Xenopus tropicalis: one gene and its partners. The main gene of each other region encodes a partner of the protein of the gene in region 2 in a complex. Links are inferred from orthologs where the notes say so. Each region holds a gene or a part of one and is shown on either strand. Other genes may lie near its edges. The genes, in order: slc7a10, slc3a2, slc7a11 and slc7a8.

Region 1 (3,562 bases), about 32 Mb from region 2:
AGGTATGGGATCTCTTATCTGGAAACCCATTATCTAGAAAGTTCTGAATTACGGAAAGGTCATCTCCCATAGACTGCATTTTAATAAAATAATTCTAATATTTACAAATGATTTCCTTTTTCTTTGTAATTAAAAACAGTACATTGTTCTTGATCCCAACTAAGATATAATTAATCCTTATTGGAAGCAAAACAAGCCTATTTGGTTTATTCAAATGATTTTTAGCAGACTTGAGTTATGGAGATCCAAATTATGGAAAGATCCCTTATCTGGGAAACCCCAGGTCCCAAGCATTCTGGATAACAGGTCCCATACCTGTACTTGATTTTAATTAAGATAAAATTGATACTTATTGGAAGAATTAAAAACCTATTGGGTTTAATTAATGTTAAAATTATTTTTTAGTAGATAATGTATTGTATACAAATTACAGAAAGATCCCTTATCCGGAAAACTCCAGGTACCAAGCATTCTGGATAAAAGGTCCCATACTTGTAATAAGTAGTTCATATACAGTACATAGTTAAAATGAATATTAATGTTCAAATAAGTCAGTGGAATTTACCTTAAGTTTTTCATTTCATTGGTGGTCAGTGGAGTTTGCCCCTACCTGCCCCTGACAAGCTTTTCTGCATTGTCATTGACACATTGCTTGATAAACAAGTTACATAAGTTTATAGCCAGTTTTTGTGGACGTTACATACATTACATAAGTTTTGGTGTCACTTTATGCAAAGCTTGTGTATTAGTATAACTTTTGCAATGTGACATTTGTACGAAGATTACTGTACTGGGCCTGACAGTACCCCCTCTCCTCTCTGATGGCTGCCCTGGTGATTTGTAGCACTGTGCATACTACAAAAAGGGTATTAAATGTCCCCAATTTCCTAACTTTTACCTTTATCAATCTTAATGTGAATTCTCTGTAAATACCAGCACAGGTATGTTTCAGATTATTTCTGCCTGAATTCATGGAAGGAAAAAGGGGGATCCAGTCATGGGTTATCTTCATTAAAAGGAAGTCAAAATTATTAGTGGACATGAGAAAAAATAAAGTAAGACTTTTAAGAGTCAAGGGTTTTTAAAAGTAGAATATGTTGTAAAAATCAGAGATTTGACCTGAATAAGTAGGGTGAACACAGGTCTCTGCACTCTGATTTGGAGCAAAGAGACCTGCACCAATTCTCCTATATGGTGGATTGCACAATGTTTTTGCACTTTGCACCCTGCCCTTCACAAAATTGACTCCTACAGTACAACAAAACAAGAGGCAAAATAAAAATGCTACTGCTTTAGGGGACAAGTCAGCTGATATATCAATCACAAAAACACAGCTTAGTCTCAAAATATTTTAAGTATCTTTATAGATACACTCTAGGAAACTACACAGAAAAAGAAAGCATACTCTACATATTAAATGTGTAAATGTATTATATGTGTTGTAAACACAAGTAGCAAAGAACAAATGTTAACAATTTTATGTAAGTCAATAATAATGATGAAAGTCAATCTTAAGGCATATTTAATGAGCGAAAGTAATCAGTAGTCAAATATGTTAAATGCTAAATCTTTTGGATACTCTCTATTTTTAAAACTACTGTAAAGCTTGATCAAAGATTTGAGAATATTATCAGATTGATGGTGTTAGCTGCTAAAACTACAGTGTTAGATCATACTTCCTCAAACCTTGATGAGGTAAAGAGGTATCCATTTATCCCTCCGAAAGTGGACAGCGCCACTGAGACTGGCATGATCCAGGAAAAATAACCCAGTAGCTTTTCACCAAATGTCTAAACCAACAGAAGGTAAAGATGCTGAAATATAGAGGTAGGAGGCACAGCACAGTTTGTCTGAGATACGGGCACAGCCTTTCTACTTACAACTGCAACGGCATTTGAAGACATGAGTTCTTGAGGTGACATAGCAGTAAAGTATGCGATGTTGGTGAAAGTGTATACAAATGTCACCAAAGGGATGGATAAGAATATGGCACGAGGTAGGTTCCTAGTAAAAAGAAGCTCAGTATTAGTGCAAAATGAATAAAGCACTTTAATGGCTTATTGCCAAACATTACAGATCTACTATCATGATGTATATACAGGGTTAGACTGGGCCGGCCCAGACCAGATCCCCACTGCCCTCCACTGGGGTTGGGCGGGTGGCCCCTTCGAGTGTGTTGTGGCTGCAGCAGGGGGCCCCTTGAGGGTGGGGGGCCCTGGTGGGCCCTGCATCCCCCAGTCCAACCCTGTATATATATATACATTTGTAATTATTTCTACTTCAAGTGTGAAACCTCTCCTCTGCCAACATAAATGTTACCAGCTCATAATTTTGTTTTAATGTGCCATTTATTTTAGGGATGCCCCAAATCCACTATTTTGGTGAGTCCTGAATCCTTCGTGAAAGATTTGCCCAAATCCTGAACCAAATCTGAATCCTAAAGAAAACTGGTCATGTTTATGTGATGAAAAGTCATGTGATTTTAAGGATTCAGATTTGGTTTGGCCAGGCACTTCCTGGACTCAGTGCATCCCTAAATTATTTTAATTCTACTTGACATTCTGTATTCTTAAATAGAGGGATTTAACTCATAACTATGATATATTTCCAAAGTCTGGAGATTAAATCCTAATAGAATTGGTGTATTACAGAGTGGTCCACTATGGCCCCTATCTAGTCAACGGGTCTACATGATGTGGACTTTTTACCTGTTGTGTTATTCTGGGAGAACCACTAATACAGTAACATGCCAAGAAGCTATTATGTGATAACATATGAAGGAGATTCTAGCAGTTGGTCAATGTATAGCACTTGGTTATCTGTTAGCAGTTCCTTTCAGAACTGGGAGGGTTGGGGGAAACAAAGAAAAATTGTAGGATTTCAGTTATTTACTGCAAGGGTAAGGTCAACACATTCAGACCAAGTAAGCAGGTTATCTGCCTGTGTATTTGGAACACCAATGGTTCTTATCCAAATGGTTTCCATAGGTCCCAGTGGTTGATTTCAAGGCCAAAGATCACATCAGCCCAATTTGGCCCAGTATGTGGGCCAATCATGATTTAGATCTGCTCATTTGGTGACCTTGCCAAACTAATCATGTATGTCACTGACCTCTCTCTTTATATGTAACGTGATTACCTGATAATGCGGCACAGTATTAGGATACGCATATTTTAATTGTATTCCAAAAAATACAACAAACAGACACTACTTGCCTTCTAGGATCAACCATCTCTTCTGTGACATAATTAAGAAAGTTCCAACCGCTGAATGCAAAAGATGCTTGTAAAAAAGCAAGTGCCAGCTGCCCCACTGTTGGAATCATCCAGAAATTAAATGCGTTGCTTGGCTTTAGCTCTTCGTAGTTTCCTGTGGGTTAATACCAAACACACATCAGGGGTGGGACAGAAATTGTCATTGAAATGCAAAATGTCCAATCCCTTCACCTTTGTGTAAAATCAGAATGGAAGGTGATGACCCAAGGCTGAGTAGTCCAAGCAGTTTACCTGGTATAACTGTATTTTTACACCAGTTGGCTCTAGTAGTTTCTAGTTTTGATATA
Region 2 (4,060 bases):
TCAGATCCGCCACACACCATTCAGGGCTGAATCGGCAGGTAAGGAGGTAGAAACAATAGGATTTCTACCTCCTTCTGCCGATTCAGCTCTGAAGGGAGAATTTTGGTCAGGCGCCTTCTATGGCGCCCGATCAAAATTTTCTAACCTGGCCGATCGACGAGCCGACCGATTTCAGCAGCTTCCTGCGACATCGGTCGGCTCGCTGACATACCATACACGCACCGATTATCGTACGAAACGAGGTTTCGTACGATAATATCGGTGCGTGTATGGCCACCTTAACTCAAACCCTCTGACCTGTCTATGCAGTTTTTTAAGCCAAAGAATAATTAATGGAGACATTACAGACCAACCTCCAGCTGTTGTTGTACTACAGTGCAGCCCCAGTCAGAGCTTTGAAGCTTTGGTATGTGCACAAGGGCTATCTGTTCCCAGCTCTAGGGGAGGAGGGAGAGAGCGGTTCTGATTCTTCTAAGAAATAGGGAACAGAGCTCCATGTACTGGAAAACAGAGGGGAAGGGGGAGAAGGAAGAAAGCTAGGTGTGGAAATGTTCAGAATGCTTTTACAGCTCTGTTTTTCAGTTCCTGACATTGACGTCTGTTGCGGCTGTGCACACTTTTTAATAACATCCTGGAATTCATTTTAGAGGAGAGGAAGGACGCTAGCACAATGTAGGTTAAAAAAAACAATTCTCAGTGCTACTGGCAGGCAACAAATCTCCTGAAAACGCCTCTCCTTTCACTAAAATATGAAACACTGCATGTGAGCCACTTTACACGCGGTGATCCAGATAAATTGCGAAAAATGTGCAGGAATTTCTAGTTCAAGAAGGTGCATTTACAGGGGCAGTAGAGGGTTTCCATTTTTCCTTTATTTTTGTCTTTTTTCCCTATAAATAACATTGGCATCGAGCATAATTTTTACTGCTGGGCCAGTAAAATACCACCCAGGCTGCAACCCTAAGGGGCACATTTACTAACCCACGAACGGGCCGAATGTGTCCGATTGCGTTTTTTTCGTAATGATCGGTAATTTTGCGATTTTTTTCGGCGTTTTTACGACTTTTTCGTATTTTTTGGGCGTCTTTACGATTTTTGCGTAAAAACGCGAGTTTTTCGGCGTCTTTACGATTTTTGCGTAAAAACGCGAGTTTTTCGTAGCCATTACGAAAGTTGCGCGAAACGTCGCGCCTTTTAAGTTTTAACGCTACGAAAAAGGCGCGACTTTGCGCGCAAGTGTTAACGCTACGAAAAAATCGCGACTTTGTGCAACTTTCGTAATGGCTACGAAAAACTCGCGTTTTTACGCAAAAATCGTAAAGACGCCGAAAAACTCGCGTTTTTACGCAAAAATCGTAAAGACGCCGTAAAAATCGCAAAAAATACTAAAAAGTCGCAAAATGTTTGTTTCCAATCGGAATTTTTCCAATTCGGATTCGAAATCGTGTCTTAGTAAATCAGCCCCTAAGTATAACCCTTGTTCAACTTAAGTTCAAAGAAGAGGCCTTGTGCTGAATATAATTTTTGCCTATTGTTGTAATTAGAAAAAAAATGGGTTTAAATGGGAGAAAATTCTTGTTTTGCTTCAGCAAAACAATACAATAAGTCACAAGGTGGCACATTAATAAGCCACAGTGCTGTCACCATAATAACAAGCTCCAGAGAGTGGGGTTGCCTGAGCCACACTGCAGCATGTTACCATGGTAACATCAGAGGTACGGCTGGCAGTAAGTTACCATGGTAACATCCGAGGTTTGGCTGTAAATGGAGGCTGCATTTTAAGTGACATTATTAGGTCAGGGTATACCATCACATGAAAAAAAAAAAAAAACAACAAAAATGGAAATGTTGATGTGGGACGAGACAGATTCTTTATAAAGTTGCACTTCCAGGATTTGCAGAGCTGGCATGGGCTCTTATTAGAGCAATTATACTTGTGCTTACTGCTTCCCAGCCCCAACCCTTCCCCTCCGGTCTCTCTTAGATACACTCAGTAACATGCAGAGCAGAGAGATTTGTTCAGCATAGCTCCACACCCCCATCCCCCACCACCCAAGCCCTCCTCTTGCCTTTGAAGCCGGCTCCAGAGCTGACCTTCCTGCACCAACCCACTCCGACCAAGCTGCACCCTGGGAGCCCCTCTTTCCCTCATCATCTGCACCCTGGCACCCCTCTTTCCCCCATCATCTGCACCCTGGCACCCCTCTTTCCCCCATCATCTGCACCCTGGGAGCCCCTCTTTCCCTCATCAAGCTGCACAGCATGACTGTGTCCCTGCTTCTCGCCTCACAAGCTCCACACACTGAAAGCTCACTGACTGTGCAAGAACACACTTGTACTCAGAATGTAATTTTAGGTGGAAATTGTAAGAAGCAGGAAACATACAATTAAGGAAGTAGGGGGGGGAACGCGTCGGCGGAAATCCACGCATGGTCAGTGTTTTGCTGTTCATTGCCAATCCCACCCACACATACATACGTACAGACACTCTTTTTTGCCCCTGCCATGCGGTGTTTCCCCGCCCCAGCCATTCATAACTCGTAAGTTCTTCCTGCTTCCTCCTCCCATTTTACCTTGCCCATGATGCTTTTCTTTTGTCTCTGGTTTACGCTTTGGGCTGGCATTTTCCTTCCTCACAAAATGGCTCCGGATAACCAACCTAAAATGTCCGCCTGGCATTCCCCTGCCCAAACCTGTCGGCACCTCAGCTCTGCTGCATGATACTGAGCGCCTCAGGCTGACAGAGGACTAAAAGAGAAGGGAAGCGCTGGGGAAGCAATGAGCAGTCTGGTAAGATTCCCTGGCAGCTCTGCAAAGGATTTACTGCCCCTTTATATGTACTAGGCAACTCTAGCTGTTACATTCTAAATAGACAGTTGGTCTCAACCTTATTGCTGCTAATAATTCCTGCTCATTCTGTTATGTTAATGGTTTGCTGCTATCTGCTTGAAATGTATAAATACATATGTAATGATGTACAATAAAGTGCTGAAACACAGTTTAATACAATACTGATATCCTCTGTTTTGTACTATTTACTAGAAATGTTATCTTCCTCTTTTTCAGGCTTAAGGTCCCCATACATGGGCCGATTCTAGCTACCAATAAAGGTCCCTTAGACTGATTCAGCAGCTAATCGGCCCATGTATGGGCACTGCCGCCGCCTGAAATCAGCCAGATCAGGATCGGGCAGGTTTAAAATTCTAGTTGGATCGGGGACCGCATTGGCAAGTTGATGCGGTCCCCGGACCGACTTTGCTTATGCCCGTCATTATAATTCGATCGTTTGGCCCCAGGGCGAATTAGCCTAGATTCTCCCGATATCATCGCCAAGCGAGCGGATCTTATGGTGTATGGGTACCTTTACATGGAGAACAAAACATAAATGGGTTTGTAAATGTAAAATGTAAAATAGTCTTACATTTGCCTACATCTAGTAACCAATAGCAACCAATCAGATGTTTTTTCATAGCTGACCGCTTTATTCTACTCGCTGATATTACTCTGGGTTACTAGTTTATTACATTACACACAAAATGTAGAGATTTTTATTATATTATGCCTAATGTCGAATGGAAAAGTGAACGTGAATATGCTGCTGGATTCACTAACAGTTTTACAGCTTGCATTGGGATTAGGGTTGCCACTTCTGAAGGCTTTCTTAACCAGGCAAGGGGGTGGGACCATGATGTTGTGGGGCTGGGAGGGGCTGTGATGTCATGGGGGTGGGGCTATGGTGCGGCGACAATGTTTCTGAGTCCTGCCCAGTTTTCTTAATTTGGGAAACCGAGCGTGAGGTTTTGACCTGGGCAGCCCTTCTGAAACCTGGGCTGTCCTGGACAAAACTGGACAGGTGGCAACCCTAATTGGGATGCAGTTCAAAATGTTAAGGCACCCCCCAGTGATTGCATTCACTTTCCTGATTCACCAAGCTGGTGTTACTGTTAGCAAAGAACAGTACAAGCCTGGGGTATATGCAGGAGAGCGATCCTCTTCTTTCTTTGCACCGGCCGAGAATGTGCAGTTGAGTGAATAGCCACACTGCTTGCAATGTATAAAT
Region 3 (4,081 bases), on a different chromosome or scaffold from region 2:
GCCTTCATTGTTCTACTTGCAGATGACTGAGAAAAAATAATTATTGGTTGGTTCCTATGGGTTACTGCCCAGATGTAAATTTGCCCAGTGTTAATAAATGAGTCCCTGTGTTACTGCAGTATAAAGACAGACATGACAATCCATGATGTCCATGATGTTGATGTAATATTGTTTGATTGGTGCCCCTGCTTATGTGCAGCACACACTTTGTGATGGTCAGTCACCTCCTTGGGTCCCGTGACAAATTTTTGCAACCATTTTGCAGAAAAATCTGCCAAAATTCGCTGCAAATCCATGCCTGGCAAAAAGTGTCACTCATCACTACCCACCTTAGCACAGTGCAGCTGGGTGTCTGACATGGCAGGTGCGCTTAAAAAAACTCAAATTCCAGTTATGGTTCAAAAACTTGTATGTCTGATATTTATTAAGTGCAAACAACCCAAAAACTCGAATGTAAAAATGTGCCATCTAAAAGCTTGTGAGTTTCTATAGAAGTTAATGGGAGCTGTCCTAGGCAAAGTCAAGTTGTATGTTCGATTCGAGTTTGTTTCGAGTTTGAACCTCAAGTTTTTTTCTTATTTACGTAAGTTTACCACATAAATAAATAAACGAACATTTCATATGATATGCAATTTTAATCAATTTAGAAAAACAAATTTAAAAATTGATTAATAATTGATAAATAAGCCCATAGGTTCTGTGGGACCACAGTAAATTGACCATTGAAGCCAAAGGATTGCTGCTTGCGCATGCACACATTATGCTCAAAATGTTGTTGGCGAATGCTGAGTGCGCTTTCCCACCTGGAATTTAAAGAAAACTTCAGGAGATGGAGGTAAAATTGGGAGAATGCTATCAATGGACAGGGGGGCTGGGGGAGAGAAGGCCAAATTGGGTAACTCCCAGAAAAATATTGGAATTGACAGCTCTGTGTGTTCTTTCGTGGGGCAAACAGGGAAATGGTAAGTGGCAGTGGGTCTGATGACCACGTTCCTTGACACTGCCCTGGTCATGGCTCTATTAAATGTTTAAATGATTTTTGGTAGACAAAGTATGGTGATCCAAATTATGGAAAGATTCTTTATATGGAAAACCTTAGGTCCCGAGGATTCTTCATAACAGGTCCCATACCTGTATTTAGAAAACTTTGCACTTTCCCAGGCAACATTTAATCAGTTCAGCTGCCAAAGATTAAATATCCTTTGTTCCCCAAGCATTCTGCAAGTCACAATGATCTGCTTAAAACAACAGGAGTTCCTGTCACTCCTACAGATTTGTATAAGCAGATCAGGCTTTGCCTTGTGCAACATGCTGTTTGTGGAAGTGCTGAGTAATACAAAAGTTTTCATGTGGCTGATGCAAACCTGTGAGATTTGCATCATCATTAAGCAGCAATAACCCGGCATGACAGGAGCATAATGAAGTAGAAGTGGTCAGAGTCATACGGAAGTTAGGCTGGTCTGTCCCAGTACATAAGGGGAGCACTGGGAAACAACAGGTGCTGCTGAGAAGTAACAGAGAGACCGCTCCTGGAATTGTTCATTGGAAAGTTTGAGCAGTTCTCGCAGCTCACGCCTGTCACAAACCACCTGCACGGCACTTTTTCTGTTGGCAAGGATCCCTGCTACTGTTCAGCTCATCATGTATAGGCAAGCAGCTGATGATGTGTACTCTGTCACCAAAGGAAAGGACTCACGCCGTATGTTGCCCTCAGCTGACAAAAAGATGTCTGAGAAAGGAGAAAAAGTGGTGCTGAAAAAGAAAGTAACTCTGTTGAGAGGGATTTCTATAATCATTGGAACTATTATTGGAGCTGGGATTTTTATTTCTCCCAAAGGAATTCTCCAAAATACAGGGAGTGTAGGAATGTCGCTGGTTGTATGGACAGCCTGTGGCATTCTCTCATTATTTGGTGAGTGAGCAGCTTGCATTTGTACAGTTTGCTATTTATTGATGATTTTAGCCCAGATGTGCGATGTGGGAATCTAGCCGGTTTTATTAAAGGGGTTGTTCACCTTTAAATTAACGTTTAGGATGATGTAGAGTGCTACTCTAAGACGCTAAGCTAGTGGTCTTCATTTATTATTATTTGTGGGTTTTGAATAATTTAGCTTTTTGTTCAGCAGCTCTAAAGATTAAAATTTTAGCAGCTATCTGTTTTCTGGGGTCCATTTTAACCTAGCAACTAGGCAGTGGTGTGAGTGAGAGGCTGGAATATGAATAGATTCTAACATGGAAACATAAGTAATAAAAAGTAACAATATCAATAGGGTTGTAGCCTCACAGAGCAATAGATTTTTTGGCTGCGGTCAGTGACCTTAATTTTAAAACTGGAAAGAGGCAAATAATTCAAAACCTATAAAAAATAAACACCAATTAAAAGGTTGCTTACAATAGGCCATTGTATAACATGCTAAAAGTTAACCTGAAGGTGAACCACCCATTTAAGGTGACTCAGCACAAATGGCAGTTAGGCAAGAAAAGGTCTGCTAATTGCTCTGCCAACAGTAAAATGTAAATGAAAGGTTTTTGTGAAAAGGGAAATGTATAGAATGTTTCTTTATCTAGATTTATATTTTTATTGCATGCATTTATTTTTAATTACAGAATGCAGTTTTAAGGGAAACTTATGTTTCAAATAAACCTTAGACCTTATTCATTTCATTTTTTTCCCATTACTAGTTGCACTCTGCAACTTAAGTTAGAGACCCCCATTTCATTATTCATTTACCCCTGTTTTTGTAACACAATCCTTCTTTCTCCAATCTTTTTCATGCAGGGCTATATTTGCCCATTGAATTCAAGAATGATGAGCTTCAAAAGTTTATAGTGGTATGAGATTTACTATGTGGAGATCTGATGTCCAAAAAACCTTTTGTGATTTTATATTCATGTATTTTTAGTAGCCTTATGACATGGTGCTCCACTTTACCCAAGTATTCTGGATAATAGATATATATATAATTTAGAAACTCCCACAATTAAAAAATAAAGAACAACTGCAAACTTTCTTTAAACACCAATGTCATGTATTAATTAAACGGGAACTATTCCCACAGGCATTGTTGACTGAAAGTATCAGGACATAGTCCCCCCGCCTACACCTAAATCTCATCTGTGTACCTATGCCAGCATCTGGCGTTGCTCCTTAACAGGCACTTTTTATGTAGTGTACTACCAAAGCCCAAATATTGCCCTGTCTGCCCAAAGGCAGAAGGGTCACAGGGAACCTTGCTTACCATGCATTCCTGCAATAAAATAAAAAGGACATTTGGGTCTGTTCCAGCTGGCAATATTTACTGTTTAATGTGCCAACATATGACCATAGATTCAACCCTACTGGATTTAAAATGAACAATTTTTCTTTCATTTATTGGCTATGTATTAGATGTTCTTTTTTTATGGTCATGGAAGTTCAGTAACCACTGTACCAGCAGATGGGTGGATTTACAAATCTATTACACAACTTCAGCTGTTTGTCATGACGTTGATGGGTAAGGGTGTGTACTGCAATACCTAAGCCTCATCAGTGTGCTGGGTATTTGCATTCTGGTTAGGATATATGACTCATTTGGTTTACAGATGAAACATCATTTTAGTTTGGTGTGCTATCGCATACTATCTGGTTACAAATATATGGTTTATTTTAATCAAAACTCACCCTTACTATTAAGGTGGGAATGAAACCTCTACTTACGTTCTGTTAGTAACTGGGATCTAATAATTGTAGTGTAAGTGACAGGTTGGTGCAGCCTTAAGCACAAAATTTATGTACATGACAGGAGTGGTTTATTGCTTCTAAACATGCACAACAAGAATTAGCGGGGGTATAGTGGTGCAAGAGAGGAAAGCCTATAAAAACACAGGCGTTCTTGTACGTACAGTATAAGGACATATTAGGAATGCCTTTGACTGGGTGTGGAATTTGCCTTAGAGGGATATTATCTTACCTGTTTGGAACTCCCTAAATCACTAAAGATTTATGCAACTTTTCTCATTGTGTAAGACTTACTGCATGTCACACAGGTAGAATTGAAGATGGCTAGAAATGGAAATAATTATTTGTAAAAGAACAGTTTGT
Region 4 (4,323 bases), on a different chromosome or scaffold from region 2:
CTGCAATGCCCACTGCACTTGCTGACATAAATAAGCCCTGATTTGTATGGCCACTTTAGAGGTGCCCAATAAGCTGAATCTTTTAACCTGCCTGATTGATATCTGGGCAATTTCAAGCCAGATATTGTTTGGTTATGGCTGATGTTTCTGCCCCTACACGGGCCCATAAGCTGCCGAATCGGTCCAAGTGACCGATATTGGCAGCTACAATCAGCCCGTGTATGGGGACCTTTAGTCTTGGAACAAGTCAGTAGACACAGTGGCCGACTTGGAAAGGCTGGAAACAGAATACAGGAAGGCAGGAGAGATACTGAACAGATCAGGAAACTGGAACAAGTAGCTTGATTACCTATGGAATTGCCAGAATCAGGGGAGGACATTGGCGGCCAGGGGAAGCAGCAACAGGGATCAGGTTTGGGCTGCCGGGGCCCGCCAGGGCTGGGGCCCACCGGGTTTTTTCCCGGCCAAGTCTGACCCTGCTGATCATTTACAGATAATTGTCTCTATGTGTGTTTTAGCAGAGGCAATTCTCAGTACTGTCTATGGCAGGGTATTTTCTGGCCACAACAATTGCTGCTACTAAGTAGCTTCATGTGTCTTCACCCTACAATGCAAGAGCTGCAACATACCTAGCAGCCATGAATGCCTTTGTGCCTAGTGACAAAGCAGCAGATGTCAGCCTTGCTGTGGACACAGCATCGTGACAACTAGCAATGGAGCTGTCTCTTTAGGGCTGTGAAAGACAGGGAGATTAGTCACCACGCGTCAAATCTCCCTTGTCGCGGGTGACTAATCTGCCCGAAATGCCATCCCACCGGCTAGAATGTAAATCGCCGGTGGGATGGCATACGCGGTATCAAAATCACCGAAGTTTCCTCTCAAGGCAACTATGCCGATTTCGGCAAATCGCAGTGCGGCATATGCCATCCCACCGGTGATTTACATGCTAGCCTGTGGGATGGCATTTCGGGCAGATTAGTCGCCCGCGACAAGGGAGATTTGCCGCGTGGCGATAACTCACAGCCCTTAAGTTAGAAGCGTTATGTTCTGACGCCAGAACGGGATATAACCTTGATTGTAAGAAAAACATTTACAAGGATGTGTATTGTAATATAGATTAAAGTAACATTATAATTATTATTTACTTTTATATATTAGAGCAGCAACTTTTTCGGGACAGTCATACAGACTGTTCCTTAGGGGCATTTTACTAATACTGCAGATAGACATTACTGTGACACATCAGTCTGTACCAACTCAGTGGAGCAAGAAGAAAAACACACTGTAATTACTGGGAGTGATGTAATTTGTGCTTAATAATACGCAAAATGGGAAACAATAAAGGATTCCCTACACAAGGAAGTAGAACACAGCAATGTCCCCCCTTCTGCGTGTTTATCTGCAAGAGAAACCCTGTGGGTAGGAACACACTGTACGGCCAGAGGGAGGAGCTGAGCGGCAGCGATATAAAGGCTTCGACTGAGCGTTTTGAACAGAGGAAGGAGACTGGGTGGTGGTGTGATCAGGTGCGCAGAACAGATAAACAGGCTGTGTGGGAGATAAGAAAACACACACATATAGAGGAACTGGCCATAGCACTGCCCTGACACACACACCAGCCTTTTCCTGCTGGACAAGAGATGCACTAAAGCTGCCACTAGTCACACAGGAGATGCGGAGACAATCCTGAAAGAGGACGCAGAACACCGGATCGGGTGAGAAATGGGGTCACCGGGTGTGGTACTGGGGTCGCACGTCAAGGGGCAGATTGGCTGGGTTTAGCTTGTAATTATGATACAGCAGTGTGGAAGAATCATTTATTGCTTTCTGTATTTATATTTTATATCTCATTACGTTAGACTCTCAGTAGCTCCCACTGTACATTACATGTTCTGTATTGTATATTGTTATTATTCTGTGGTATGTACATTGCTGTATTGCTCTGTATCTATTGATAAATCTATTCTTATACTATATCAGAAACTTTCCCAGAATGTCATAAAGCAGGGTTCACAAAGCAGAGATTTGACCATGCTGTTTAATCTAGGTCACCCTGATTCATGTGACATTTACTTATAAATAAAATTCATTCTAAACTAAATAATGAAGGTGACTAAGACCTTGCTCTTACTGGCACATAACAGAGGATGCTAGAAATTGCACATACATGCATCCATGTCTATGGCGGGGAATATGACCAAGATCACATTTGTGCCTTGTTATTTTAGGGTCATGGTAACCCCACAGAGACACTGTTGAGTGTAAAGCTGGCCATACACATTAAAATTTTTAAAAGATCTTTTAGTTATCATAGAACCAAGCTTATCCTGAAACGACTGTTTAAAAGTATGATTTGCCCATCAACAAAAGCTAACATTTGAAGCAATATTGTCTAGTTGAAGCTAGGAAAATGACCTGCTTGGTCCGGCAAACAGTTGGACAGTGGGCGAATTTCATTGCTAATGACGAAAACTATTAAACCTGCCCAATTTTCAGACCGATGTCGGATGAAAAATTGCTAAATGTTTGATCGTTCGGTGCCCACTAACCATATGATAATTTGACGGATTTGTCGGATCGCACTGAAATTGTTCGTTAGGGAGAGAAAAATCTTAACCTGTATGGCCAGCTTAAGTGCTGGAACACTTAATTTACTTCTGAAAGTGCTGTGAGCTCAGTACAATTTAGATTGAGGTCTTAAAAAGGGGTATGTGCCGAGTGCAGTTGTGTTGCACCTACTGCATTTGCGTCAGATTCACCAAAATTAACACAATTGTGTGCACATTTCATTGCAAATTAGACAAAACTGCACGCATTTCCATTTGACGTCATTCTCGGTGTTCCCCGTGTGAGTGACATCTGTGCTCAATTCTTTAGGTACAAACAGCACTCAATTCTGAACAGAAGGCAGGAAGAACTGAGTAGTACAACAACTATGCAGAAGTTCAATGAGCACATGTTGCCGCGAGTACCTTTAGTAAAAGTTGACTCCAGGGAAGTTGCAGGGACTGTGACTGCACTTATGTATGTGAATGAGCCCTCATGCTAAATCTAGTACTAGGCACGTTGCTGTGGATGCAAAAAAGCCATAGGCTTGCAGTAAGTACAGTCTCATTGATGCTCTGTGCATGGCATGTCTAAATGATGTGCAATCTAAGGGGTGTCCAAGGGGACAGCCATGTACTACCACCACATGAATGCAGCGCTGCTGAACCCAGACAACATTGTATTTAAGGGAGTAGTAGCTAGCAGAGACATTTTCCAAGAGAACTTTCAATGTCATTGTATTTTACATCATAGGGCATACCATGTTGTAGAATGCAGTGTACTCAAGTTTCAGTGAGTCATGATGACACAAGTGACATCACCAATTACCTAATATAAGTGATTACATCACTGTGCACCATTATTCAGTTATCTTGTGTATGATAACCAAATACTTGACTTCTCTAGCTGAGCACTGAAAACAACCTGCCATTTGGTATCTCATTATATCCCTTGGGAAACACTTTTGCCTTGTTAGTATAGTACAAGTTTGTATTGCTGTACATATCATTTATGAGTTGTACACCTTATGTAGGTTTTTTTGATTCTCAACTATATAAGACAATTTTGTGCATTGTTCCTAAACCATTTAATGTATGATGTAAGCATCCTTTGAATAAAAAATTGCTATTAAACCATGTAAGAATATAGGTGACCTTAATAGTTACAACATAAAGTTTATCCGGAAACTCTGGGTTCTGAAATTTCTGAAATATGGATAGAATGTTGATCCAAAGAAAAGCCGATTATCATTTTGGAAGTTGAGAAGGATTCTTTCCACTATTGGGCCCAGAAAAATCTGCAAACTTTGCCTTTTGGATAAACTGCAACATAATTAAATTAATAGTTAAAAATAATAAGAAAAAATTATACCAAGTCATCCAAAATATTAACCTCAGTTATAGGGCAAGGAAAATGAATGCCACTGGGGGGAGGGGGGGGGTGTCAAAATGGTTTGTATTTCATTGAAGGTTGCCAATATCTTACACCTACCCTAGTAAATTTAGCCTTCCAATTAGACTTGCAGATTTTAGGGCAGATTTTAGATGCCAATTTGAGACTTTTAGACTGATTCGGCGGCATGCTCGATGGGTGTACAAAACTGACAACTGGTCTAAAATTGGCCAGATCTCAGTTGGGCAAGTTTGATTATATGTTGGATTGGGGAACGCCTTGGCTTGTTGATGTGGTCCTTGGTCCGACAGCGCCTCTGTCCGCCTTTTTAATTCAGTCATTTTGCCCTAGAGCCAAATGATCAAATTAGCACGATATTGGGAG

Evidence for each region.
Region 1: the proteins of slc3a2 (region 2) and slc7a10 are in contact, whole or in part, in a cryo-EM structure (PDB 8WNT), measured with the Homo sapiens proteins. The link is inferred for Xenopus tropicalis from reciprocal best matches to the Homo sapiens genes SLC3A2 and SLC7A10. Residues at the interface, in NP_002385.3 of Homo sapiens: Phe161, Thr162, Gly163, Leu164, Lys166, Leu169, Leu170, Val172, Ala173, Trp178, Arg182, Leu186, Phe189, Trp190, Trp193, Met196, Leu197, Ala200, Ile203, Ile204, Ala207, Pro208, Arg209, Cys210, Arg211, Glu212, Leu213, Arg534; in NP_062823.1 of Homo sapiens: Leu147, Val150, Phe151, Asn153, Cys154, Pro157, Ala160, Val163, Leu164, Met166, Ala167, Met170, Leu171, Trp174, Ser352, Val359, Glu481, Thr484, His485, Trp486, Gln488, Glu489, Leu490, Phe492, Val493, Val494, Tyr495, Gln497.
Region 3: the proteins of slc3a2 (region 2) and slc7a11 are in contact, whole or in part, in a cryo-EM structure (PDB 7P9V), measured with the Homo sapiens proteins. The link is inferred for Xenopus tropicalis from reciprocal best matches to the Homo sapiens genes SLC3A2 and SLC7A11. Residues at the interface, in NP_002385.3 of Homo sapiens: Glu167, Leu170, Ala173, Trp178, Thr181, Arg182, Phe189, Trp190, Trp193, Met196, Leu197, Gly199, Ala200, Ile203, Ile204, Ala207, Arg209, Cys210, Glu212, Leu213, Lys299, Arg534, Gln559; in NP_055146.1 of Homo sapiens: Leu151, Phe154, Phe155, Ile156, Gln157, Cys158, Glu159, Pro161, Leu163, Ala164, Leu167, Ile168, Ala170, Val171, Thr174, Val175, Val178, Gln217, Gln219, Val360, His373, Thr487, Gln489, Ile490, Ile491, Glu493, Val494, Val495.
Region 4: the proteins of slc3a2 (region 2) and slc7a8 are in contact, whole or in part, in a cryo-EM structure (PDB 7CMI), measured with the Homo sapiens proteins. The link is inferred for Xenopus tropicalis from reciprocal best matches to the Homo sapiens genes SLC3A2 and SLC7A8. Residues at the interface, in NP_002385.3 of Homo sapiens: Thr162, Gly163, Leu164, Ser165, Lys166, Glu167, Leu170, Ala173, Gly174, Trp178, Arg182, Leu185, Phe189, Trp190, Trp193, Met196, Leu197, Gly199, Ala200, Ile203, Ile204, Ala207, Arg209, Cys210, Arg211, Leu213, Lys532, Arg534, Asp558, Gln559; in NP_036376.2 of Homo sapiens: Leu147, Leu150, Phe151, Pro152, Thr153, Cys154, Phe155, Pro157, Ser159, Gly160, Leu163, Leu164, Ala166, Ile167, Leu170, Leu171, Trp174, Gln294, Ser352, Met356, Val359, Glu481, Thr484, Leu485, Gln488, Lys489, Met490, Cys491, Val492, Val493.

Annotation. Positions count from the first base shown.
Region 1 is NC_030680.2:68,947,645-68,951,206, reverse strand, and holds part of slc7a10 (asc-type amino acid transporter 1), read right to left. Parts: intron 3,370-3,562; coding exon 3,216-3,369; intron 2,005-3,215; coding exon 1,881-2,004; intron 1,791-1,880; coding exon 1,687-1,790; intron 1-1,686. UniProt on the Homo sapiens protein: Associates with SLC3A2/4F2hc to form a functional heterodimeric complex that translocates small neutral L- and D-amino acids across the plasma membrane. Preferentially mediates exchange transport, but can also operate via facilitated diffusion.
Region 2 is NC_030680.2:36,599,508-36,603,567, reverse strand, and holds the start of slc3a2 (4F2 cell-surface antigen heavy chain), read right to left. Parts: upstream 2,825-4,060; 5' UTR 2,574-2,824; intron 1-2,573. UniProt on the Homo sapiens protein: Acts as a chaperone that facilitates biogenesis and trafficking of functional transporters heterodimers to the plasma membrane.
Region 3 is NC_030677.2:61,777,151-61,781,231, forward strand, and holds the start of slc7a11 (cystine/glutamate transporter), read left to right. Parts: upstream 1-1,271; 5' UTR 1,272-1,641; coding exon 1,642-1,912; intron 1,913-4,081. UniProt on the Homo sapiens protein: Heterodimer with SLC3A2, that functions as an antiporter by mediating the exchange of extracellular anionic L-cystine and intracellular L-glutamate across the cellular plasma membrane.
Region 4 is NC_030677.2:139,584,189-139,588,511, reverse strand, and holds the start of slc7a8 (large neutral amino acids transporter small subunit 2), read left to right. Parts: upstream 1-1,506; 5' UTR 1,507-1,715; intron 1,716-4,289; exon of another isoform or gene 4,290-4,323. UniProt on the Homo sapiens protein: Associates with SLC3A2 to form a functional heterodimeric complex that translocates small and large neutral amino acids with broad specificity and a stoichiometry of 1:1.